2 linked regions of the Stegostoma tigrinum genome follow. The protein of the gene in region 1 purifies or fractionates together with the protein of each later gene. This does not show direct contact. Links are inferred from orthologs where the notes say so. Each region holds a gene or a part of one and is shown on either strand. Other genes may lie near its edges. The genes, in order: ercc3 and ccnh.

Region 1 (12,461 bases):
CTGATCTCACTGAATTCTAAACCTCAAAGGCCATTCGGTCCCTCAAACAAGCTTCACTTTTTGATTTTGGTTTCAATTCCACTTTCCTACCTCTCCCTCAAAGTCCTTGGCTCCTTTGTAGAATAAAAATTCAGCCTTGCTGGAGGAGGTAACCCCAAGATTAAAAACCCACAGAAAATAAAACTCTCATCTCCATCTTAAATGAGAGACCTCTTGTTCTGAACTTGTAGCCCCAATCCTTAACTCCCCCACAAGAGGAAACATCAGAAAGTGGTTCGGAAGACGAATGGAATGTTATATATTACAAGGAGAATAGAACATAAACGTAGGCAAGTGAACTTTATCTGAAGTGCCTCCAATGCAACCATATCCCTTAGATGAGGAAACTAGAACTTCACACGGTAATCTTGCCATATAAATGCTGATCTACTCAGCAATGCCCATATTACATGAATAAATCAAAAGCGCATTCTTACCGACACCATGCACAGATACAGTAAACCTTTCCTACGTTTATGTTCCATTCTCCTGGCAATAAATAACATTTCATTCGCCTTCCTTATCACTTTCTGTACCGACATACAAACGTTATGCGATTCTTGTACCAGGACACCCAGATCCTCCTGCACCAGCAGGTTCTACAATCTCCCTCCATTTAAATAATATAACGCTTGCTATTCATCTGGCCAAAGTTAACATTTTCCCACATTCTACTCGATCTGCCAAGTGTTTGTTTACTTGCTGAAATTACTCATATTCCTTGCAGAGTCTCTGTAACCTCTTCACAATACAACATCCTAACTTGGAAATGTATCGCCATTGCTTCATCGGATTTAGGTCAAAATCCTGGAGCTCCCTACTTATGGGCACTGTGGTTGTTCCTACACCAAATGGACCGTAGAGGCTCAAGGCAGCAACTTCTCAAGGGCAACTGGGGAAAGGAGTAAGTGAAGGCCTAGTCTGTGACAACAACATATCATGCATTAATACAAGACAAAAGTGCTTTCCTACTTATCTTTGTGTCAGCAGCAAATTAGGTTACAATGCGTCCACTTGTGCAAGTCATTACCAAGGATAATAGGCTGGCGTGCCAATCATTATTAAAGACACAAAGTGGTTGGATCCCAGATTGACCGATGCTACATTCCAGGGAAGGTGATAGATGCGGATTTGATAGCAATGTTTAACAGGCATTTAGTTAGACACGTGAACAGAGGGATATGGACCACAAGCAGGCAGACAGAATTCATTTATAATGACGTGATGTTCAGGGCAGACATGGTGGGCAAAACAGCCTGTTCATATACTTTTCTGATGAAGGGTCTAGGTCCGAAACATCAGCTTTTGTGTTTCTAAGATGCTGCTTGGCCTGCTGTGTTGATCCAGCCTCACATTTTGTTATCTCGGATTCTCCAGCATCTGCAGTTCCCATTATCTCAGTTCATATAGTATACTATTCTATGTTCTATTCCACTAGCTGTAGTTTGTCAATTCAAAAATGACGCTTTCAACGCAACACTGCGTCCTGTCAGTTAGTCAATCCTGATACAAACCACTGTGGCTGACTTACCACCCAAAGTGGTCTGGAGGTGTGATCCTCTTTTAGGGTCATCAGTGTCCTGTAATCCTTGGCCCCATACTCATCTTCCTTAACCACAGTCTGCTCCACCTGTTTCCCAGCCGCAGAAGGGACAGCCTCCTGAGATTCGGTATCCATGGAAAGCTCATCCTCATCCTCTTCCTCATTATCATAACGACGCTTCTTGAATTTTTTCTTGTCTGATGGAAAATTTAAAGGTGATTAAAGTGTTTTTAAAGGAAAATGAGTAAAGGTAGGAAAGTAAGTTGAAAGGCATTTACAAAAAGGTCAGTCAAGAGACAGTGATGTGGAAAAACATTTCAGTTGGGATGTAAGGTAGGAAACTGAGGTTAAAAACCAAAACAGCTGCGGGTGCTGTAAATCAAGAACAAAAACAAAGTTGCTGCAAAAGCTCAGCAGGTCAGGGTTAGGGTTAGGGGAAGGGTCACCAGACCCGAAGTGTTAACACTGATTTTTTCCTCACAGATGCTGCCAGACCTCCTGAGCTTTTGCAGCAACTTTGTTTTTGTCGAGGAAGTTGAGGTTGTCTGCTTTAGCAGGAATAACAGAAAAACAGATTATTAATTGAATGAGGAGAGACGAGAGAACACTGTGAAACAGAGAGATCAGGGTGCCCATATGCAAGTGTCACAATAAGTTACAGAGCAAGTAATCAGAATGATTAACTCAAAGACTATAAATTCAAATTCCCCCAGATGAGTCTGACAACTTAAAATGTCGATTTTGCAGAAACGCATCAGGTTTACTGGAAAGAAACTTGTAATACTACCCATTCCAATTTATGTCCAACTGCAATTCTCTTCCCACCACCACCACAGCTGACTGACACTGACTTGGCCCAGAAATGTTGGAGGCCATCACGCAGTTTAAGCAAACCACCACAAAGCAGCTCAGGCACATGATCGATTCACCGATTCACCTCCAGAGGCTAAACTAGGGGCAGGACAAGGCAATCAGCCAGCAACGGCCAACATCCAGACAGCAAACAGAACAGTGAAGATTTCAGTTTGATAACCCAATACAGAAGCTGTTTCCAAAAGTGGAAGCAGGCACCAAGTGCCAATTTTGTCAACAGACTCTCAAATTGCTTATAAAATGACTTCAGTAAGAAAGAAAACTGCCTGCTTGATTGGCACCACATCCACAAGCATCCACTCCCTCCACCACCGACGCTCAGTCGCAGCAGTGTGTACCATCTACAAGATGCACTGCAGAAATTCACCAAAGATCCTCAGACAGCACCTTCCAAACACACCACCACTTCCATCTAGAAGGACAAGGACGGCAGATACATGGGAACACCACCCCCTCGAAGTTCCCCTCCGAGCCATTCACCACCCTGACTTGGAAACATATTGCTGTTCCTGGGTCAGAATCCTGGAACTCCGTCCCTAATGGCATTGTGGGTCTAACTACAGCACATGGAATGCAGGTTTTTGTTTAGATTCCCTACAGTGTGGAAACAGGCCCTTCAGCCCAACAAGTCCACAAAGTCCCCTGAAGCATCCCACCCAGACCCATCCCTCTAAACGCTACGGGCAATTTAGCATGGCCAATCCACCTAACCTGCATATCTTTGGACTGTGGGAAAAACCGGAGCACCCGGAGGAAACCCACGCAGGCACGGGGAGAATGTGCAAACTCCACACAGACAGTCACCAGAGGCTGGAATTGAACCAGAGTCCCCGGTGTTGTGAGGCTGCAGTGCTAACCACCGAGCCACCGTGCTGCCCCAGTTGTTCAAGAGGGCAACTCACCATCTGGGGCACCTCTCCATAAGACCATAAGACATAGGAGTGGAAGTAAGGTGATTCGGCCCATCAAGTCCACTCCGCCATTTAAATCATGGCTGATGGGCATTTCAACTCCACTTCCCTGCACTCTGCCCGTAGCCCTTGATTCCTTCTGAGATCAAGAATTTGTCGATCTCTGCCTTGAAGGCATCTAACGTCTCGGCTTCTACTGCACTCCATGGCAATGAATTTCACAAGCCCACCACTCTCTGGCTGAAGCAATGTCTCCTCATTTCAGTTTTAAATTTACCCCCTCTAATTTTAAGGCTGTGCCCACGGGTCCTAGTCTCCCCGCCTAATGGAAACAACTTCCCAGCATCTACCCTGTCTAAGCCATACATTATCTTGTAAGTTTCTATTAGAACTCGCCTCAACCTTCTAAACTCTAATGAATACAATCCCAGGATCCTTAGCCGTTCATCGTACGTTAAACGTACCATTCCAGGGATCATCCGTGCGAATCTCCGCTGGACACGCTCCAGGGCCAGTATGTCCTTCCTGACGTGTGGGGCCCAAAATTGGACACAGTATTCTAAATGGGGCCGAACTAGAGCTTTATAAAGTCGCAGATGCACATCACTGCTTTTATATTCCAACCCTCTTGAGATAAACAACAACATAACATCACATTACATTCGTTTTCTTAATCATGGACTCTACCTGCAAGTTAACTTTTAGAGAATCTTGGACCAACACTCCCAGATCCCTTTGTACTTCTGCTTTACGAATTTTCTCACCGTTTAGAAAATAGTCCATGCCTGTATTCTTTTTTCCAAAGTGCAAAACCTCACATTTGCATCTCAAGGGGCAACTACTGATGGGCAATTAACTGCTGGCCAGCCAGTAATGCCCACACCCCATGATTTTACAGTACAGAAGACTGTTTGAAACCTCCTAAGGAATCTGCCTCTCCCAAGCAGTGTATTCCAAATCCTAAACAACTGAGTAAAGAAGTTTCTCATCATCTAACTCCCAACTTTCTGGTTGACAAGTTTGAAATTGTGACCCCCTGGTTACTGGCGTACCAATAAGTTGAAACAAAATATGTTTTATTAATCACAGAATGAGGGTGTTCTTAGCCAGGCCAGCATAAATTGCCATTCCCCAATTAGCCAGCAGGCATTTAAGAATCAACCATATACTTTTTCAACTTGACAAAACTGTTCATAATTTTGAACCCCTCCATACAGTCACCTCTTAAATCTTCTCTACTCCAAGAAGAATAAGCCTAATTTCTCATTCTAGCTAAAATCCCACATTGCTGGTATCATTCTAGTAAACTTCATTTAATTCTCTATTGGGTTGTAACATCCTTCCTTAAATAAGGCACCCAGAACTGAACACAATACTCCAGGTGATCCAGAATTTCTCTCCGCAGCTTGAGCAAACTTGCTGTGAGTGAGATAATACAGTATTCCCTGACACTGTACTAGTGACGCCATCACAACTGGATATTAGGGCATCCTGTGGTCATGAAACAGTCCTTCAGTTAAAGTTAACCTATTTTGATGGGACAGCTGTGAAGGATTAGATTAGATTCCCTACAGCGTGGAAACAGGCCCTTCGGCCCAACAAGTCTACACCGCACCTCGAAGCATCCCACCCAGACCCATCCCCCTATAACCCTCACACCCCGAACACTACGGGCAATTTAGCATGGCCAATCCACCTAACCTGCACATCTTTGGATCGTGCACAGGATACCGCGTAGAAACTGCCAATTACCAAACACAACCAGCCTCACAACAATCTGGAACTCGACTGGTTCAGTAAAAGAGAACAGAGGATATCAATATCAAATCTGGTACTGTTCACACACATAAAACAAAGATAGATGCGCACTTATACGGCATTTATCACAACCATTGAAATGTCAGAATACTCTACAGTCAATTAAGGACTTTTTGAAATGACGTTACTGTTGCAATGAAGGAAACATAACCTATAAACAGCAAAAGTACAACAGCTAGACAATCTGTTTTTGCAATGTTGGCTGAGGGATAAATATCAGCTAGCACAACAGGGTGTTGTGTGGGGGGGGTGCGCGTGCGGTGGGGGGGTGGAGGGGGTGTGCGGTGGAGGGGTGGGGGGGTGTGCGGTGGAGGGGTGGGGGGGTGTGCGGTGGGGGGGGTGTGCGGTGGGGGGGGTGTGCGGTGGGGGGGGTGTGCGGTGGGGGGTGTGCGGTGGGGGGGTGGGGGGGGGTGTGCGGTGGGGGGGTGGGGGGGGGTGTGCGGTGGGGGGGTGGGGATGGGGATGGGTGGGGGGGGATGGGGATGGGTGGGGGGGGGGGCGGGGATGGGGATGGGGTGGGTCTGGATGGGGGGGGCGGGGATGGGGATGGGGTGGGTCTGGATGGGGGGGGCGGGGATGGGGATGGGGTGGGTCTGGATGGGGGGGGCGGGGATGGGGATGGGGTGGGTCTGGATGGGGGGGATGGGGTGGGTCTGGATGGGGGGGGCGGGGATGGGGATGGGGTGGGTCTGGATGGGGGGGGCGGGGATGGGGATGGGGTGGGTCTGGATGGGGGGGGCGGGGATGGGGATGGGTGGGGGGGGTGTTGTGTAACCGCGGGCCTTACCTCTCTCCTTCTTGCCCATCGTTCCCCGGTGTCTAGAAGCATGCGCAGATACGGCCGAGCCCAGTGCGCATGTTTGGACCCGGCGCTGGTGTGCCGGTACCGGCGCGCGTGCGCAAAGCGAAAATCCTCTCCACCCAACCATCAGTCACATGATTCCTCCAGCTCAGTGATACCAAGTGATCTGTGGTGCAGAGAGAGAAGGAACTGCAGATCCTGGAGAATCTGAGATAACAAGGTGTAGAGCTGGAGGAACACAGCAGGGTCTTGGCCCGAAGCATCAGCTTTCCTGCTCGGCCTGCTGTCTTCATTCCAGCTCCACACCTTGTTATCTTAGCAGGGAGACAGAATCCTGGTAGTCATGGGCAATACTTGCTCGACAGTTCGCACAAAAAAACGGACAGCCTCATCATTCCCATATTGACGTTTTGCAGCAACCTACCAAGTGGCACATTGACAATCAGGTCTGCTCTATTACCATCGTGGCTGCCCTCTGGCTGTAAAGTGCGTTGGGTAGAGGTGTGGTCATGAAAAGATATTGTAGAACCAAAAGTCTTTTTTAACACATCAGAATTGTAAATGTGAAATAAGGCACTAATAGAACATACAACTGCACGCACTGGATAGGCAGGTACAGTACAGGTAATGTTGCTGATTGGCTTCTATGTGAAGCTGATATCACATACCAACTCAACTATTACAAATAAAAGTCTTGCATCTTTTTTAGGATGTCATAACATCTATTTGACCCTTCATAAATCCTTCATTTCAGCAAGGAGATAATGTAGAAAAAGCACAAAATGCTGGAGTAACTCAGTAGGGCTGGCAGGACATGCGAAGAGAGAAACAGTTATTGTTTCACATCTGGTATGACTTCTTAATTGGAAACTGTTGGAAAATGTTTTATTTTTAAAACTTCTGAATTTCTCCAACATCAGTCAGAAGCTTCCATTGTCGAGGAAGATCTGCCTACTGAGTCAGTATGGGTGGAAATTAGGAACAGCAAGGGAGTAGTCACCTCGTTAGGGGTTTACTACAGGCCCCCCAATAGCAGCAGGGAGATTGTAGAAAGCATAGGTCGACAGATTTTGGAAAAGTGAGGACGCAGTAGGGTTGTTGTAATGGGTGACTTTAACTTTCCTAATATTGATTGGAACCTCCTTCGAGCAGAAGATTTGAATGGAGCTGTTTTTGTAAGGTGTGTTCAGGAGGGTTTCCTAACTCAGTACGTTGACAGGCCGACGAGGGGAGAGGCCATTCTAGACTTGGTGCTCGGAAACGAGCCGGGGCAGGTATCAGATCTTGTGGTGGGAGAGCATTTTGGTGATAGTGACCATAACACACTCTCATTCTACATAGCTATGGAGAAGGAGAGGATTAGGCAGAATGGGAGGATATTTAATTGGGGAAGAGGAAACTATGATGCGATTAGACACGAGTTAGGAAGCATGGACTGGGAGCAGTTGTTCCATGGTAAGGGAACTATAGACATGTGGAGATGGTTTAAGGAACAGTTGTTGGGAGTGATGAGTAAATATGTCCCTCTGAGACAGGCAAGACGGGGTAAGATAAAGGAACCTTGGATGACGAGAGCGGTGGAGCTTCTAGTGAAAAGGAAGAAGGTAGCTTACATAAGGTGGAGGAAGCTAGGGTCAAGTTCAGCTAGAGAGGATTACATGCAGGCAAGGAAGGAGCTCAAAAATGGTCTGAGGAGAGCCAGGAGGGGGCACGAGAAAGGCTTGGCAGAAGGAATCCGGGAAAACACAAAGGCATTTTACACTTACGTGAGGAATAAGAGAATGGTCAAAGAAAGAGTAGGGCCGATCAGGGATAGCATAGGGAACTTGTGTGTGGAGCCTGAGGAGGTAGGGGAAGCCCTAAATGAGTTTTTTGCTTCTGTCTTTACGAAAGAAACGACCTGTGTAGTGAATGAAACCTTTGAAGAGCAGGTGTGCATGCTGGAATGGATAGAGATAGAGGAAGCTGATGTACTGAAAATTTTGTCAAACATTAAGATTGACAAGTCGCCAGGCCCGGATCAGATTTGTCCTCGGCTGCTTTGGGAAGCGAGAAATGCAATTGCTTCGCCACTTGCGAAGATCTTTGCATCCTCGCTCTCCACTGGAGTCGTACCTGAGGACTGGAGAGAGGCAAATGTAATTCCTCTCTTCAAGAAAGGAAATAGGGAAATCCCCGGCAATTATAGACCGGTAAGTCTCACGTCTGTCGTCTGCAAGGTGTTAGAAAGGATTCTGAGGGATAAGATTTATGACCATCTGGAAGAGCATGGCTTGATCAAATACAGTCAACACGGCTTTGTGAGGGGTAGGTCATGCCTTACAAACCTTATCGAGTTTTTTGAGGATGTGACTAGTAAGGTTGATGAGGGTCAAGCTGTGGATGTGGTGTATATGGACTTCAGTAAGGCATTTGATAAGGTTCCCCATGGAAGGCTCATTCAGAAGGTCAGGAGGAATGGGATACAGGGGAACTTAGCTGCTTGGATACAGAATTGGCTGGCCAACAGAAGACAGCGAGTGGTAGTAGAAGGAAAATATTCTGCCTGGAAGTCAGTGGTGAGTGGGGTTCCACAGGGCTCTGTCCTTGGGCCTCTACTGTTTGTAATTTTTATTAATGACTTGGACGAGGGAATTGAAGGATGGGTCAGCAAGTTTGCAGACGACACAAAGGTCGGAGGTGTCGTTGACAGTGTAGAGGGCTGTTGTAGGCTGCAGCGGGACATTGACAGGATGCAGAGATGGGCTGAGAGGTGGCAGATGGAGTTCAACCTGGATAAATGCGAGGTGATGCATTTTGGAAGGTCGAATTTGAAAGCTGAGTACAGGATTAAGGATAGGATTCTTGGCAGCGTGGAGGAACAGAGGGATCTTGGTGTGCAGATACATAGATCCCTTAAAATGGCCACCCAAGTGGACAGGGTTGTTAAGAAAGCATATGGTGTTTTGGCTTTCATTAACAGGGGGATTGAGTTTAAGAGTCGTGAGATCTTGTTGCAGCTCTATAAAACTTTGGTTAGACCGCACTTGGAATACTGCATCCAGTTCTGGGCGCCCTATTATAGGAAAGATGTGGATGCTTTGGAGAGGGTTCAGAGGAGGTTTACCAGGATGCTGCCTGGACTGGAGGGCTTATCTTATGAAGAGAGGTTGACTGAGCTCGGTCTCTTTTCATTGGAGAAAAGGAGGAGGAGAGGGGACCTAATTGAGGTATACAAGATAATGAGAGGCATAGATAGAGTCGATAGCCAGAGACTATTTCCCAGGGCAGAAATGGCTAGCACGAGGGGTCATAGTTTTAAGCTGGTTGGTGGAAAGTATAGAGGGGATGTAAGAGGCAGGTTCTTTACGCAGAGAGTTGTGAGAGCATGGAATGCGTTGCCAGCAGCAGTTGTGGAAGCAAGGTCATTGGGGTCATTTAAGAGACTGCTGGACATGCATATGGTCACAGAAATTTGAGGGTGCATCCATGAGGATCAATGGTCGGCACAACATTGTGGGCTGAAGGGCCTGTTCTGTGCTGTACTGTTCTATGTTCTATGTTCTATGTTATCTGTTGTCCAGTGCTTTTATTCATGGTTATACTGCACTTGCCTAAGACATTGATTAACCTCAGCTAGTGTATTAGGACATTGGTGAACCTGATGGGTTTTTCCTGACAACTGGCAATGGTTTCCTGATTATCATTAGACTATTTTTTATTCCATCCTCCATGGCGCAATTTGAATGTGAGTACCCAGAACAGTACCTGGTGCTCTCTAGGGCCGAACGTCAGCTTTTGTGCTCCTGAGATGCTGCTTGGCCTGCTGTGTTCATCCAGCTTCACACTTTGTTATCTTACTCCAGGTTATTAGTCTAGCGATAATATCACTAGGCCATTGCCTTTCTTGGACTAATTGGCCTAGCGTTATTATTGCTCCCCACTTACCATGCTGAACTGTTGTTATTCCCACGTTTCAAACTAAAGTTTACTCCCTGCTTCACCTGCACAAACCTGGAGGTGTTAGTAGATGGGATGGTCATGAAAAGGGCAGTTCTTCCCCTTGAGGCTCATCACAGGATTCCAGGAGACCAAACCCAGGCAGCCTGGGGCAGCAGAACATTCTTCCAGATTTGAGCACAAGGACATAAGTAGGTAGATATTAAAGGCTTTTGAATATAATTTTCATTTACTAAGAAGTTAATCAATGTGACTAACAAATAGAACTGTACTTTGTTACATTGGTCATTTAAAATCCAAGATTATGAATTGACAAGCCCAAGTTCAGCAGTAGTAATGAAACTGTACCCAAATGGATTAGGAAATGCTCTTTAAAGCAAATTTATAAACGTACGTGTTCTTAAAAATATTGCCCAACGACTATATTTAAGCAGAAAGTTGAGGAAACAGAAACTACATTTCCCCAGGGCACGATCGACTGCCACGAGGGGTCGTAGTTTTAAGGTGTTAGGAGGAAGGTATAGAGGAGATGTCAGAGGGAGGTTCTTCACCCAGAGAGTTGTGAGCGCATGGAATAGTTTACCAGTGGTAGTCGTGGAAGCGGAGTCATTAGTGACATTTAAGCGACTGCTGGACATGCACATGGACAGCAGTGAATTGAGAATTTAGGTTAGGTTATTTTATTTTTGGATTAGGATTATTCCACGGCACAACATCGTGGGCCGAAGGGCCTGTAATGTGCTGTACTTTTCTATGTTCTAAAATGAGTTTTGGGCATTAAGCAGAAAGAGTGGAGTCGAGGAGTGGAGCGAGTAAGCCATGTCCCGCAGCAGACCAGAGCGAGCAGGCCGTGCCCCGTAACGGAACAAGCACATGACTCGATGAGCCGAATGGCCTTACTTCCACTCCAATGTCTTATGCCGAATCCCGCAGAGCGAACAGGTGATTCCCAGGAGTTGTGGTAGAGTGAGCCCTTGACTGAGAGCGGCCCGCGGAAGCAGCGTAGCCTAGTGCTCTGGGACCTGCAGGAGCGGACTGGAACTTATCACTCTGGAATTTTTCACTGTTTCAAACTAATCTATATTCTTTTCTTTACTCTGTAACAACACTTTATTTTTACACAATAAGATTTATAGCTAGGTACTGATACCTAAGATTGTGCCTTTAAAAGCAGCCGTTGTAGAAACTTTTCACTGTACCCCTGTACTGGAATGCATGACAATAAAGACTATTCTGTTCTATCCTATCTAGCCCAAGGTTCCAGTATTGTGTTAAATGGCCAAGCAAACAGGAAACACAATTTGAGAAGAACATTCGTTGTGTGTTGCAGCCTGGACACATTTTTTTATTTTAGTTTGGCAAAGTTGCTGTAGCAAACTTGACAGGGATTCCAAAAGCCCAACAGACAGGCAACGAATCTACACTTCAGAAAGTGAAAGTGGGTACTGCAGGCACGATTCTTGAAATTTACATGGAATTCCAATATTCGGTTTTCATTAAGGAGGGATCTGCTTGAGGGTAAATACAAATATATTAATTAGTAGCAGGATGTGGCCAACTGATCCTGCTCCCTATTTAATAGCATCATGACCCATCTGGTTATTCTACATTCCCAACTATCCACTTATTAATAATATATCCACCTTCGTCTTACAAAGATTCTGCTTCCATCACCTTTTAAGGAAGAGAATTCAAAATTTCCCTTAGAGAAATAAATTTGCTTCATCTCGGTTTTAAATGGGCAAACCCTTATTTTTGTGACCCCCAGCTCTGATTTCTCCCCAGCATCGTTTCCACATCACTTCTGTTAAAACACATCAGAATCTTGTGTTTCACTCAAGTCACTTCTTACTCTTCTAAACACTGGTAAATACAGGACTAGCCTGCCCAGGACTGTCCTCACAAGACAACCAACCATTCTAAGTATTAGTCTGATAAACCTTTTCTTTAATTGCTTCCAGTGCACTTAGATCTTTTCTTAAATGAGGAGGCCAATACCACATAACAAAGTGTGAAGCTGGATGAACACAGCAGGCCAAGCAGCATCTCCTGAGATGACCTGCTGTGTTCATCCAGCTTCACGCTTTGTTATCTCGGATTCTTCAGCATCTGCAGTTCCCATTATCTCAGGCCAATACCACACATGGCTTTCTCAATGTAGTCTCACCAGTGCCAAAAACAACAGAAGCATAACTTCCCTATTTTGGTATTTGATTCCTCTCTCACCAAACCAACATTTTATTACCTAATTACTAGTACCTGCATAGTTGCCTGCAGTCTTCTGACTTCTCACTTTTGGCAATTTATATACTCCGATTCCTAGATTCCTCTACAATCTCTCACTATTTAGATAGCATGCTTTTTGTTCTGTCTGCCAAAATGGCCAATTTAACATTGTCCCACATTATACTCTGCTTGTCACATTTTGCTCACTCACTTAACATCTTGATATCCCTTTGTAATTTGCTCACATTCTTTTCACATCCTTATTTGTCTTTGTTTCATCAGCAAACTTCACAACTGTATTTTCAGTCAG
Region 2 (12,685 bases), on another chromosome or scaffold:
TGGCCCTGGACTTTGGAATGCGCCAGTCTGCAACACTTGGTTGAGATCAACTCCTTGTTCTGGAAAGTCAACAAGTTTCGGGCAGTTGAAAGAATGTCCTTCACCAAGTTGATGGGCCTCCAGGAGCAGCTGGTGTTTGTCTCGGTGTGTGTCCTGGGAAGCAGACTGTATTGCACAGAGTGCACGTCACAGAGCTGGTCCGGGACAAATCTTGACAGAAACCACTGCATCGTTCTCCAATCATTCTTTGCAAAGGCATATTCCAGCAGATGTGTAACAGTCTCAATCTACCCCTGCAGCTGCTTTGAGGGCAGCTTGTGGTGATGCAACCGACTGAGGCCAGTTCGAACTAATCACAGATGTTCATGAGTCTGCACACAGACAGCGGATTCAGCAGAAAGCAGCGTTGTCATCCACATACAAGGAGGCGTCGACCTGCTGGCTTCCGCTGCCTGGAATAGTTACCCCTTTTAGGCTTGCATCCTTCCCGATGGACTCAGCAAAAGGCTCTATTCAACAATCAAGCAAGGCAGGACAGAGTGAGCAGCCCTGCCTGACTCTGAATCCAAATGGGAAGCCTGAATGAGAAGCTTTTTGATTCCCACCCATTTTTTGAAACTGCAGTAACGATGTTGGTGTACAGCAATCAAACCCAATTGCAGATTCCCTCCCCAAATCCTATTTTGTACAGCACGCCCCACATGTACGTGTACAATATCTTGTCAAAGGCCTTCTCCTGGTCCAAGCTGATGAGGCAGGCATAGGTAATCACATTCCTGAAGTGTGCAAGGGTCTCAGAGATCAACCAGCCCAGTATAACCCAGGTTTGGATGGGTTGGGGTAAAGCACCAATTCCAGAGCAGACCTGACCTGGTTGCCGATGGCCTTAGGCAGGATTTCATAATCTTCATTCAGCAATGAGATTGGTTGCCAATTTCTAATTTCCTCCCTCCCCCCCAATTTTGCTTGTGGATGAGGGTGATGCTACCTTTCCTCTTGATTTGCACATGCTATCTGACAGAAACATACCCACAGGTCCTAGCCAATCAAGTTCCATACAGCTGAACACAACCTGGCTGGTAAGCTGTCACTTCTGAAAGTTTTATACTTTTCTACTCGAGAGCTTTTGTCAGTTCATCCAGATATAACAGCTGGTCCATCCTCTCTCCTGTGCTATCATCTAAGACTTCCATGATAGATGACAGGAATTACTGTCTGTGGACTTTGTGTCATACAGACTGGCATAAAAGCATTTGCTGATCCTCAGTATGTCAGACTGAAATGATGTTAACAAGTTATCTTCTTCCTCCAGGCTGCTGAGCACAGAGTTCTCCTTGTACACCTTCTGGAAGAAGAAACACGAGCATGTTTCATCCCGCTCCATGGGGTGGATCTTGGTGCAGAAGATTTTCTTGGGCAAAGAGGGAGGCTTGCTGGCTCTTTACTTCTTGGAGATCATCCGTGACATTAACTCCATCGTCTGCAGCAGGAGCAGGTTCTGCATGGTTTTCTGGAGTTTGGACAGTTTCCTCTACCTCTCTCTGACCTTATAGAACACAGAACAGAGAACATTACAGCACAGTACAGGCCCTTCGGCCTTCAATGTTGTGCCAACCTGTCATACCAATCTCAAGCCCATCTAACCTACACTATTCCATGTACGTCCATATGCTTGTCCAATGACAACTTAAATGTACTTAAAGTTGGAGAATCTACTACCGTTGCAGGCAAAGTATTCCATTCCCTTACTACTCTCTGAGTAAAGAAACTATCTCTGACATCTGTCCCATATCTTTCACCCCTCAATTTAAAGATATGTCCCCTCGTGCTCGCCATCACCATCCTAGGAAAAAGGCTCTCACTATCCACCCTATCTAACACTCTGATTATTCTATATGTCTCAATTAAGTCGGCTTTCAACATTCCTCTCTCTAATGAAAACAGCCTCAAGTCCCTTAGCCTTTCCTCATAAGACCTTCCCTCCATACCAGGCAACATCCTAGTAAATCTCCTCTGTACCCTTTCCAAAGTTTCCACATCCTTCTTATAATGCGGTGACCAGAACTGTACGCAATACTCCAAGCGCGGCCGCACCAGAGTTTTGTACAGCTGCAGCATAGCCTCATGGTTCCGGAACTCGATCCCTCTATTAATAAAAGCTAAAACACTGTATGCCTTCTTAACAGCCCGGTCAACCCGGGTGGCAACTTTCAAGGATCTGTGTACATGGACACCGAGATCTCTCTGCTCATCTACGCTACCAAGAATCTTACCATTAGCCCAGTACTTTGCATTCCGGTTACTCCTACCGAAGTGCATCACCTCACGCTTGTCCGCATTAAACTCCATTTGCCACCTCTCAGCCCAGCTCTGCAGCTTATCTATGTCTCTCTGTAACCTACAACATCCTTCTTCACTATCCACAATTCCATCGACCTTAGTGGTGTCTGCAAATTTACTAACCCATCCTTCTACGCCCTCATCCAGGTCATTGATAAAAATGACGAACAGCAGTGGACCCAACACCGACCCTTGCGGTAATCCACTAGTAACTGGTCTCCAGGATGAACATTTCCCATCAACCACCACCCTCTGTCTTCTTTCAGCAAGCCAATTTCTGATCCAAACTGCTATATCTCCTACAATCCCATTCCTCCGTATTTTGTACAATAGCCTACTGTGGGGAACCTTATCGAACGCCTTGCCGAAATCCATATACACCACATCAACAAGTTTACTCTCATCTACCTGTTTGGTCACCTTCTCAAAGAACTCTAAGGTTTGTGAGGCACGACCTTCACTTCACAAAACCGTGCTGATTATCCCAAATAAATTTATTCTTTTCTAGATGATTATAAATCCTATCCCTTATAACCTTTTCCAACACTTTACCAACAACTGAAGTAAGGGTCACTGGTCTATAATTACCAGGGTTGACTCTACTCCCCTTCTTGAGCAGAGGAACCACATTTGCTGTCCTCCAGTCGTCTGGCACTATTCCTGTAGACAATGACGAGTTAAAGATCAATGCCAAAGGCTCGGCAATCTCCTCCCTGGCTTCCCAGAGGATCCTAGGATAAATCCTATCTGGCCCAGGGGACTTATCTATCTTTACACTCTATAGGATTTCTAATACCTCTTCCTTGTGAACCTCAATTCCACCTAGTCTAGTAGCCTGTATCTCAGTATTCTCCTCGACAACATTGTCGTTTTCTAGAGTGAATACTGTTGAAAAATATTCATTTAGTGCTTCCCCTATCCCCTCTGACTCCACACACAGCTTCCCACTACTATCCTTGATTGGCCCTAATTTTACTTTCGTCATTCTTTTATTCCTTAAATACCTATAGAAAGCCTTAGGGTTTACCCTGATCCTATCAGCCAGCAACTTCTCATGTCTTCTCCTGGCTCTTCTGAGCTCTCTCTTTCGGTCTTTCCTGGCTAACTCGTAACCCTCAAGCGCCCTAACTGAGCCTTCACATCTCATCCTAACATAAGCTTCTTCTTCCTCTTGACCAGAGATTCCACTCCCTCCGTAAACCACGGCTCCCGTGCTCTACAGCTTCCTTCCTGCCTGACAGGTACATACTCATCTCGGACACACAGAGCTTTTCCTTGAATAAGCTCCACATTTCTAATGTGCCCATCCCCTGCAGTTTCCTTCCCCATCCTATGCTCCCTAAATCTTGCCTAATCTCATTGTAATTGCCTTTCCCCCAGCTATAACTCTTGCCCAGTGGTATACACCTATCCCTTTCCATCACTAAAGTAAACATAACAGAATTGTGATCGCTATCACCAAAGTGCTCACCTACTTCCAAATCTAACACCTGGCCGGGCTCATTACCCAGTACCAAAGCTAATGTGGCTTCGCCCCTTGTTGGCCTGTCTATATACTGTGTCAGGAAGCCCTCCTGCACACACTGGGCAAAAACTGACCCAAATATAGCACTCGAACTATAGTGTTCCCAGTCAATATTTGGAAAGTTGAAGTCCCCCATGACAACTACCCTGTCTCTCTCACTCCTATCGAGAATCATCTTTGCTATCCTTTCCTGTGCATATCTGGGACTATTCGGAGGCCTATAGAAAACTCCCAACAGGGTGATCTCTTCTTTTCTGTTTCCAACCTTGCCCGTGCTACCTCAGTTGACGAGTCCCCAAACATCTTTTCTGCAACTGTAATACCGTCCTTGACCAACAATGCCACACCTCCCCCTCTTTAACCGTCTTCTCTGCTCTTACTGAAACATCTAAATCCCGGAACCTGCAACAACCATTCCTGTCCCTGCTCTATCCATGTCTCCGAAATGGCCTTCAGAACACCTTTGAGGATAAAGAACGTCTTGATGTTCCCCTTGACTGTTTCCCCCCCCAGTCCAGTGTAGAGTTAGACAGGGGCTTCACGGTTCTCCAACCTGTAACCCCTTTTGAGCTCCTCAATATTTTCTGGAGTTAACAGTTTTCACATTCAGCTTCCACATTTTCTTGCCGGCCTGTGGGCATCCTATAGGTGGCAGTCAGCCAGCAGGAAGCAGTGGTCAGAGAAGAGTATTGGCTTGACATCAGTGGATCTGAATGAGAAGGTGTAAGATGCAAACACGAAATTGATCCTTGAATAGACAGATCCGTCTAGTGGCCACCAGGTATATCTATGTTACAATCCATCTGCAGGGGGGCTGAAGAAGTCTTTCAGTTTGGCAACTTTAACTGTTTCCATAAGGAATCTGGAAGACCATTACGTTTTGGGCAAACTAATTTTTTTTTCTTTCAAAAATATACTGTATTCATAAAAAAATTCTCTCATATGTATACGCTGTCACAAAAGCAATTTGGTTCTGTATAGCTGCACATCAGTAAATAAACAAACCTAACCAAAAAACCAAAGACCTTTCTTCCACATACAGTACTAATATTTACCTATATTTGAGGCACTAGGAGGGTCCAATAACTGGAAGGACACTCATTTACTTTTAGCTGGAAGACTTCAGCAGTGGTCCTTCCCCACTGTGCTTTGATGGCAGCTGCCCCAAACTTTAGTGTGTCCCTCAGCATGCAGTCCCAGACTTTGAAATGTGCCAGTCTGCAACACCGAGTTGAGGTTGGCTCCTTGTTCTGAATGACTAACAAGTCTTGAGCAAATCAAAGAGCGTCTTTCACTGAATTGATGGTACTCCAGCTCCAGCTAATGTTTGTCTCGGTGTGTGTCCTGGTGAACAGACCGTACAGGGCACAGTCCCGTGTCACGGAGCTGCTTAAGACAAACCTTGACACAAACCATGCATCTTCCTCCAGACTTCTTTGGCAGAGGCATATTCCAGAAGGAGATGTGTCACAGTCTCAACCTCAATACCCCTCACCAGCAGCCCCCCATCACCACCACCCTCCATCTTCAAACCTCCGAACCAGCCACTTCAAGAGCAGCGGGCAGTAGTGCAGACATAAAGGATCTCCCAGGTACTTCCCTTATCAGCAAAAGCCAAGCAACGTCTTGGTGCTTTTCCGAAGTTCGGGTGATGAGGCATTCTGCCAAATGACTTTGACAATTTTCTTAGGGAACCATGCAACAGGATCCACCCTCTTCTTTTCTCTCAGGGTACACTTCCTGATGGACTGCTAGTCAAAGGTGCTTTGCAAATTTCTCGATGAAGGAGAAGTGATAGGGGATGTGGCAGCAAGGCCAGTCCCATCCCTTGAAACACTGAGGGACAGGTAAAACCTCAGTATGCAGTGGCACTTGGTGTTGTGTACTAAGGGTCTATGCACAGCTTCATGTAGCCAAACACAAAGGTTTAATGTTCTTGTTAAGATTTGTAGCTTGGCTTGTGGATGAGGTTGTTGGCTTGCTCGCTTTGCTGGCTGGTTATTTAGCTTCATCCATCTAGTAGGCACCTGTGGATGAAATTATTGAGATATCCGTTGTTCATTAATTTGATCCTGGTGAAAATGTTTTTGATAAGATGGTGCGTTTCTTCTAACTTGGTTTAATGATGATGCATCATCCATGTATCAGATCCACAGTTCTGGCTGTATGAGGGGCAGGTTTGTGCACTCCAGTCTTTGCATGACTGCCCCTGCAATAAGTCCCGAGTCCTAGGGTCAAATTTACAAAAGAAGATGAAGACAACAATCAACTTCCATTCCAAGATGTCAGGGTAGAACGAATGACCAATGGGGAGTTCACAGTACACAGGAAGGCAACCCATATTGACCAAATCCTCAATTTCCACAGCAATCACCCAACGTCCACAAACAAAGCTGTGTTAGGACATTATTCCAATGAGCCGCAATACACTGCAACATGCCAGAACTACGTAGAAAGGAGGAAGAGCACCTATACAAGGTATCTGTTAATAACAGACATCCCAACAATTTCATCCGCAGGTGCCGTCTAGATAGGCAACACCAACAGGACACATCACACTATCCTATATCATGAACATATCAGAACTGACGAGACTCCTATGACCACTAGGAATCATGGCAGGACACAAATCCACAGCTACACTACAACAAACACCCACAAGGACCAAAGAACCCATACCCATGACGTGTAAGACCAACATAGTTTACAAAAATACCTTCCAATGACTGCAACAAACATTACAATAGCCAGACTGGAAGGAAACTAGCCATCAGGATACATGAACACCAGGTGGCAGAAAAACAACATGACAAACTTTCCCTCATCACAGTGCACTCAGACAATGTGGCCATCAATTTAACTGGAACAATGGGACCATCCTGGCTCAAGCCAACAACAGATATGCACTGGTTTTCAACCCATAATGCAATCAACAAACATGTGGAATTAGACCTCATGTACAAACCCATGCAAAAAAGAACAGGAAATGGCACAACACAACTCGACAGAGCAGATCATATAAATTCCAAGTGGAGTAGAACAGTTTTGCTTCATTGGATGCCGCACTGATGTTACCCAGCATGGTGATGAAAGGTCTGTATGATAAAACACAAAGGTGGCCATCAGGAGGGCAACAGTGGGAACGTTCTCTGCCACCACCATCCAGAGTTTTATACATGGAGTTCCTGCAGGCCCAGTCTATCTTAGGCTTCCAGATGAAATAGAAGATGACTCAGGTGATTGAAACATCAGTGACGGGAGGCAGGCCAGACCTGTGTCGTTTACAGCATCAGAGACAGAGTGCTTCACACCTGATAACCAGGTTTATCCCCGCAACGGACAAGGAACAGTGCTTCCAGAAGACCAATTTCTGCTTCACTTTGGCGATGCACTCCTCTCAGATTTTGTGCATGCCCTAGGCCCTCTGAGCCATATTCCCAGCACTTTCAGGTAATCTGTCGTGACGGTGACGGGAATGAAGGATCGGTTGGCCCAATTCCCAAAGAACATGGCCTCGCTGTTGCCCCGATTTTTACCTTGGCTCCCGAGCCCATTTCTACCAGGGCAAAGGGCGGGAACGCTGTGGTCAACCCCTTCAAAGGCTGCAAACCGTTCATGTTTTCCATAGTCACACAGCTCGGTAGCTATGACTGGAAAGTACATTACACCGTACTCTCCGACTTAACCTCTGCTCTTCCTTCCCCAACCCAAGCGGCTGACAGCTAGGTTCCCACGTTCCAAACCGTCGCAGGCTGACTGTTCTCACGCGAGATCACGGCCCTCAACCCGACTCGTTTCCCATTGGACCAACGCTTCGCGAAACGTCACTAGGAGGTGGGGTTAGTGCTGAACAGCGGAAACGAAAGCAGTCTCGAGCCAGGTGAGTCTGAACGTTAGAGGTTGTCTGTGTTGGTGCAGCGTGATCTCTACCCTGGGGTTTGAATGTGTGAGCAGCTCCGTTAGTCCCGTTGAAGCTCCCGACTCCTCCTGCTGTTGTAAGAGAGATAATGGGAAAGCGTGTGGGGGTGGTTCGGCTTGATTTACAGTCGGCACCTGACTTCTGCAGACCGATTCAAACTCTTCGTGCTTTTCTCATGCTTTGTGGTCTGCGCTTCCTGCAGTCCGTTCATATTTAATATTCCCTCATCCCCAGTTTAAAGGTGAGGTTTCAAGTCGCACTGCTGGTCTTGTACTCGTGAATCCAGTCTGGCCGTTATAATAGAGGGCCAGTTGAAAATGTTTTTTGGATAAGATCGTCAGTTGAGATTAAATCTGCCTTTTCTGATGGATGTAAAAGGTCCCTTATCACTTTCTTGGAACAAGACAGGAGACCGGATATTGGTGCATTGACTAGTCTTTGTGGTGTAGTTATCTTCGGAACCTAGTCACCGTCACCAAAATAAATTGGCCTCCATCACTGTTTGTGGAAGATTGCTGTATGAAAGTCTACTGATGTTTTTTTCTCTCAAGATTACAGCAATACTTTGAAAAAACAGAAATTGCTGATGAAAGCTCAGCAAATCTGGGAGTATCTGCGAGAAGAAAGCAAGAGTTAATGTTTGAGTCTAATGACAGCATGGTCAAACTGGTGTCTAATGAAAAGTCACTAGATTTGCAACATCAACTCTGCTTTTTTTCCACAAATGCTGCCAGACCTGCTGAGTTTTGTGACAATTTTCTATTTATGATTAAGATTTCTAGCATCCACAGTTCTTTGTTTTACTTCAGGAGCTCTTATTTGGCTGTGAAGTGCTGAGGGTCCATTAGACAAAGAGTTTCAGAAGGACAAACACAAGTTCCCACATTTTATTCATGAGTTTATTTAGACTTTAGTGGTGGGCCTGATAAAGTAGACATAAGTGATATGTTGATAACATTGTGGAGCTGGAAGAACACAGCAGGCCAGGCAGCATCTGAGGAGCAGTAAAGTTGACATTTTGGGTCTGGACCCTTCTTCAGAAATGGGGAGGGGGAAGGGAGCTCAGTAATAGAGGAGGGGTGGAGGTGGGGAATGTGGGTGGGATGGTGATTTTTTTTTTTGAGTGCAAGTAGGGAGTAGTGGGAATTGGTCAGCTAGGTGGGGGGGATGGCTAGGTGGGAGAGAAGATGGACAGGTTGGGTCAGGTCAAGGAGGTGGGGATGAGAGGGTGGCTTGGACATGGGATGAGGTTGGGGTTAGGGAGATTTTAAAACTAGTGAATTCCGTAGCGCTGTAGGCTCCCAAGGTGGAATATATGTTTTACTCCTCTAGTTTTCATGTAGTACCATTGTATCACAATGGAGGAGGCCCAGATGGACATCCCACCAAGGACCTTAACATCTGCTCTTCTCCCCCCCCCCCCCCCAAGTGATTGTAAATGCCCTCAACCACATCTCTTGCATTTCCTGCACCTCTGCCCTCACATTCCCTCCCCCCAGCAAAAATAAAGACACAATCCCCCTTGTCCTCTCATATCACCCCACCAATCTCTGCATCCAACATATTTTCTGCCACCTATAGCCCAACCCCACAACCAAAGAGATATTTCCCTCCAGAACAATATCTGCCTTTTGTAGGGATGGCTGTCTCCATGACTCACTCATCCGCTCTACAGTCTGTACTTACCCTACTAACCTGGAACCTTTGCCTAGAACTGCAGGAAGTGCTACACCTGCCCCTCCACCTTTCCCCCCCCCCCCCAACCCCCATGTAAGGCACCTGGCAAACCTTTCATATCAGACAGCGATCACTTGCACATCTGTCAACTTGGTCTACTGTATCCGCAGTTCCCAATGTGGCCTCCTCTGCATTGCTGAGACCAAGTGTAGACTTGGAGACTGTGTTTTGTAGAGAGCCTGCTCTCTGCATGGGACAAACAACAACATCTTCTAGTTGTCAACCATTTTAGCTTCCCCCTCCCACTCGCTGGGTGACACATCCATCCTGGGCCTCCTCCAGTGCCACAATGATACCACACAAACTGGAGGAGCAACACCTTATATTCCATCTTGGGAGCCTACAGCCCAGTGGCCTAAACATAGAATTCACCAGTTTTAAAATCTCCCCATCCCTGGCCTCATCCCTGCCACCTTGACCTGACACAACCTGTCCCTCTTCTCTCCCACCTATCCGCCCCACTGAACAATCCTGACGATTTCCTACCTGCACCCACCTATCGCCATCCCACCTACCTTTCCCAGGACTACCCCTTCTCTGTATTTATTTCTGAACACTCTTCCCCCTCCCCCTTTCTGAAGAAGGGTCCCGATCCAAAATGTCAACTTATCTGCACCTCTGATGCTACCTGGCTTGCTGTGTTCTTCCAGTTCCATACTGTGTTACCTCTGACTCCAGCATCTGCATTTCTTTCTATCTATAAATGATATGTTGTAACTTTTTATTTTAACTGCCTGTCAGATTGTAACCCCATGTAAAGTCTGACATTAAATGAATGAGCACTTCTCGTGATCGTCTTTTAAGATGCCCCTTAAAATTTATTTATTTGGTCAAGTCTGTGGCCATATGTCAGGACACTGCATCATCTAGCTTGGTCTCAAATTTTGTGATGCTCCTGTGAATTGCCTTAGGATGTTTTATTACATAAAATGTACCGTATAAATGCAATTTGTATTTATGGATGTGAGTTTGCTCGCTGAGTTGGAAGGTTAGTTTTCAGATGTTTCGTCACCATTCTAGGTAACATCATCAGTGAGCTTTCGATGAAGCGCTAGTGTTAGGTCCCGCTTTCTATTTATAAATAAATACAATAGAAAGCAGGACCTAACACCAGCGCTTCATCGGAGGCTCACTGATGATGTTACCTAGAATGGTGATGAAACGTCTGAAAACTAACCTTCCAGCTCAGCAAGCAAACTGACATCCAGAACCTCAACCTGAGCTACAAATCTTCTCAAAACTCGCTAATTTGTATTTATAGTTGTAAATAATGGATTTACTCTGGTAATTCTGCACTCTTAAATTGGTCTACAACTATTTGCCTGGACATTATTCCAGTGGGCAAAAATAGGTCATCTGGAAATTATTTTTGTACGTTAATTTTAAATTACTGCTTGATCTTTCAAAACTTTTTATAAAATGGGCATCAGCAAAGTTTTTGGAAGTGACTTTTTTGTTATATGGGATATTGTAGGCCAAATTTTTTCAAAGTAATTTTAAGATAAATATATCTTTATGCTGCTGTTTGAGATTAGTGCAATGAGACCTTCGTTATGTTCATCTGAAAGTAAATGTGTATGGTTATCTCATCCAACATTGTACCTCAGTTGTGCAGTATGCCCCAGTACTGTAGTAAAACAGCTGAGATTTGGAGGTGATCTTAGCACCATAAACCACAAGAAATAGGAACAAGAGTAGTCTGTTAGAATTCTCCAGCCTGCTCTGCCATTCAGTATGAATTTGGAAAAAAAAATTTATGAAGCGTCCCTCCCAGCTGTAAAATGATCGAAGTATAGAATAGTCAAGCAAGAAAACTGTGAAAAAGTTTGCATTTTAACATCATCAAGGAAACACCCAAATACTACCAGAAAAGTTTTAAAGATGTCTTTGCTGACTACAGGGCTGCTGTCTCATTAGAGAAAGATCACTGCTGGTGGTTTAACCTGAGGATCACCATGCCTCCAGTGAGGGGCAGGCCAAGAAGGAAAGTCTTCATGATAACCCCAGCCAGTATGGCATCACTCTGCATTGCAAAACAGCTAACTAAGCTAACCACCCCACCATTTCAACCCAAACCCGCTTTCAACCCCATTCAGGTACTGACTTCCAGACAACCTCTGTGTAAAAGTATTTCTCTTTAATTCCTTTCAAGTTTGCCAATTACTTTAAATCCCTGCCTTCTGGTTAACAATCAGTGTGTAAAGGAAATGTATCCTTCCTATCTACTCTTCCTAGATCCCTCACAATTGTATACATGGTATCAATGTTTCAAAGTTTTAAAAAAAAGCCCAGCCTAATCAATCTTTCTTTTAGCCTAGCATTTTCAGACTTGGCAGCATTTTTTAAAATTCATTCAGGGGATTGCAGCTTTATTGGTTGAGCCAACATTTATTGTCATTTCCTAATCATCCTTAAGAAGATGGTAGTGGGCTACTTTCTTGAAATGTTACAGCACCTGTACAGGAACAGCTGTGTATTTCCAAGTTAGGATGGTGAGTGCCTTGGAGGGGAACTTGTAGGTAGTGGTGTTTTCATTGTACCTGCTGCACTTGTCCTTTGAGATGGTAATCGTAGTGGGTTTGGAAGATGATATCTAAGGAGTCTTGGGGAATTTCTACATGGAAACTTGTAGGTGGTGTGTTAATGATGTGAATGTTAATTGAATTGGTGTTAATCAAATGGGCTGCTTTTTTATGGATAATACCAAACTTCTTGATTATTGCTGGAGGTAATATTATCCAGGTAAATGGGGAGTGTTCTATCATTCTGTTTTGAACTTTGTAGATGGAGGACTTTGAAGTCAAAAGTTGAGTCACTTGTTGCACAATCTGTAACCTTTGACCTGCTCTTGCAGCCTTGGTATGTATATACAGCTGGATCAATTTAGTTTATGGTCAACGGCAACTTCCACAATAGTGAAGATTCGGTGAGGTAATGCCACTAGATGTTAAGGGGTAATTATTAGACTGTGTTATTGAAGATGGTCATTACTTGATATTTGTGTGGCACAAATGTTACTTTCCATTTTCAACCCAAGCCTGGATGTGGCCCAGGTCTTCCTGTATTTTGACATAGACTGCTTCAGTATCTGAGGAGTTGCAAATGTTGCTGAACATGGTGCGGTCATCAGCAAATAACCCCACTTCTGACTTAATGGTGGAGGA

What was found.
Region 2: the proteins of ercc3 (region 1) and ccnh purify together in Homo sapiens (affinity purification with mass spectrometry; 9 studies listed by BioGRID and IntAct, counting the BioPlex papers as one, with this or other methods). This does not show direct contact. The link is inferred for Stegostoma tigrinum from reciprocal best matches to the Homo sapiens genes ERCC3 and CCNH.

What each region holds. Positions count from the first base shown.
Region 1 is NC_081360.1:103,813,715-103,826,175, forward strand, and holds the start of ercc3 (general transcription and DNA repair factor IIH helicase subunit XPB), read right to left. Parts: upstream 6,092-12,461; 5' UTR 5,991-6,091; coding exon 5,972-5,990; intron 1,780-5,971; coding exon 1,571-1,779; intron 1-1,570. UniProt on the Homo sapiens protein: ATP-dependent 3'-5' DNA helicase/translocase. Binds dsDNA rather than ssDNA, unzipping it in a translocase rather than classical helicase activity. Component of the general transcription and DNA repair factor IIH (TFIIH) core complex.
Region 2 is NC_081356.1:95,560,558-95,573,242, forward strand, and holds the start of ccnh (cyclin-H), read left to right. Parts: upstream 1-7,695; 5' UTR 7,696-7,745; intron 7,746-7,878; exon of another isoform or gene 7,879-8,025; intron 8,026-12,685. UniProt on the Homo sapiens protein: Regulates CDK7, the catalytic subunit of the CDK-activating kinase (CAK) enzymatic complex. CAK activates the cyclin-associated kinases CDK1, CDK2, CDK4 and CDK6 by threonine phosphorylation.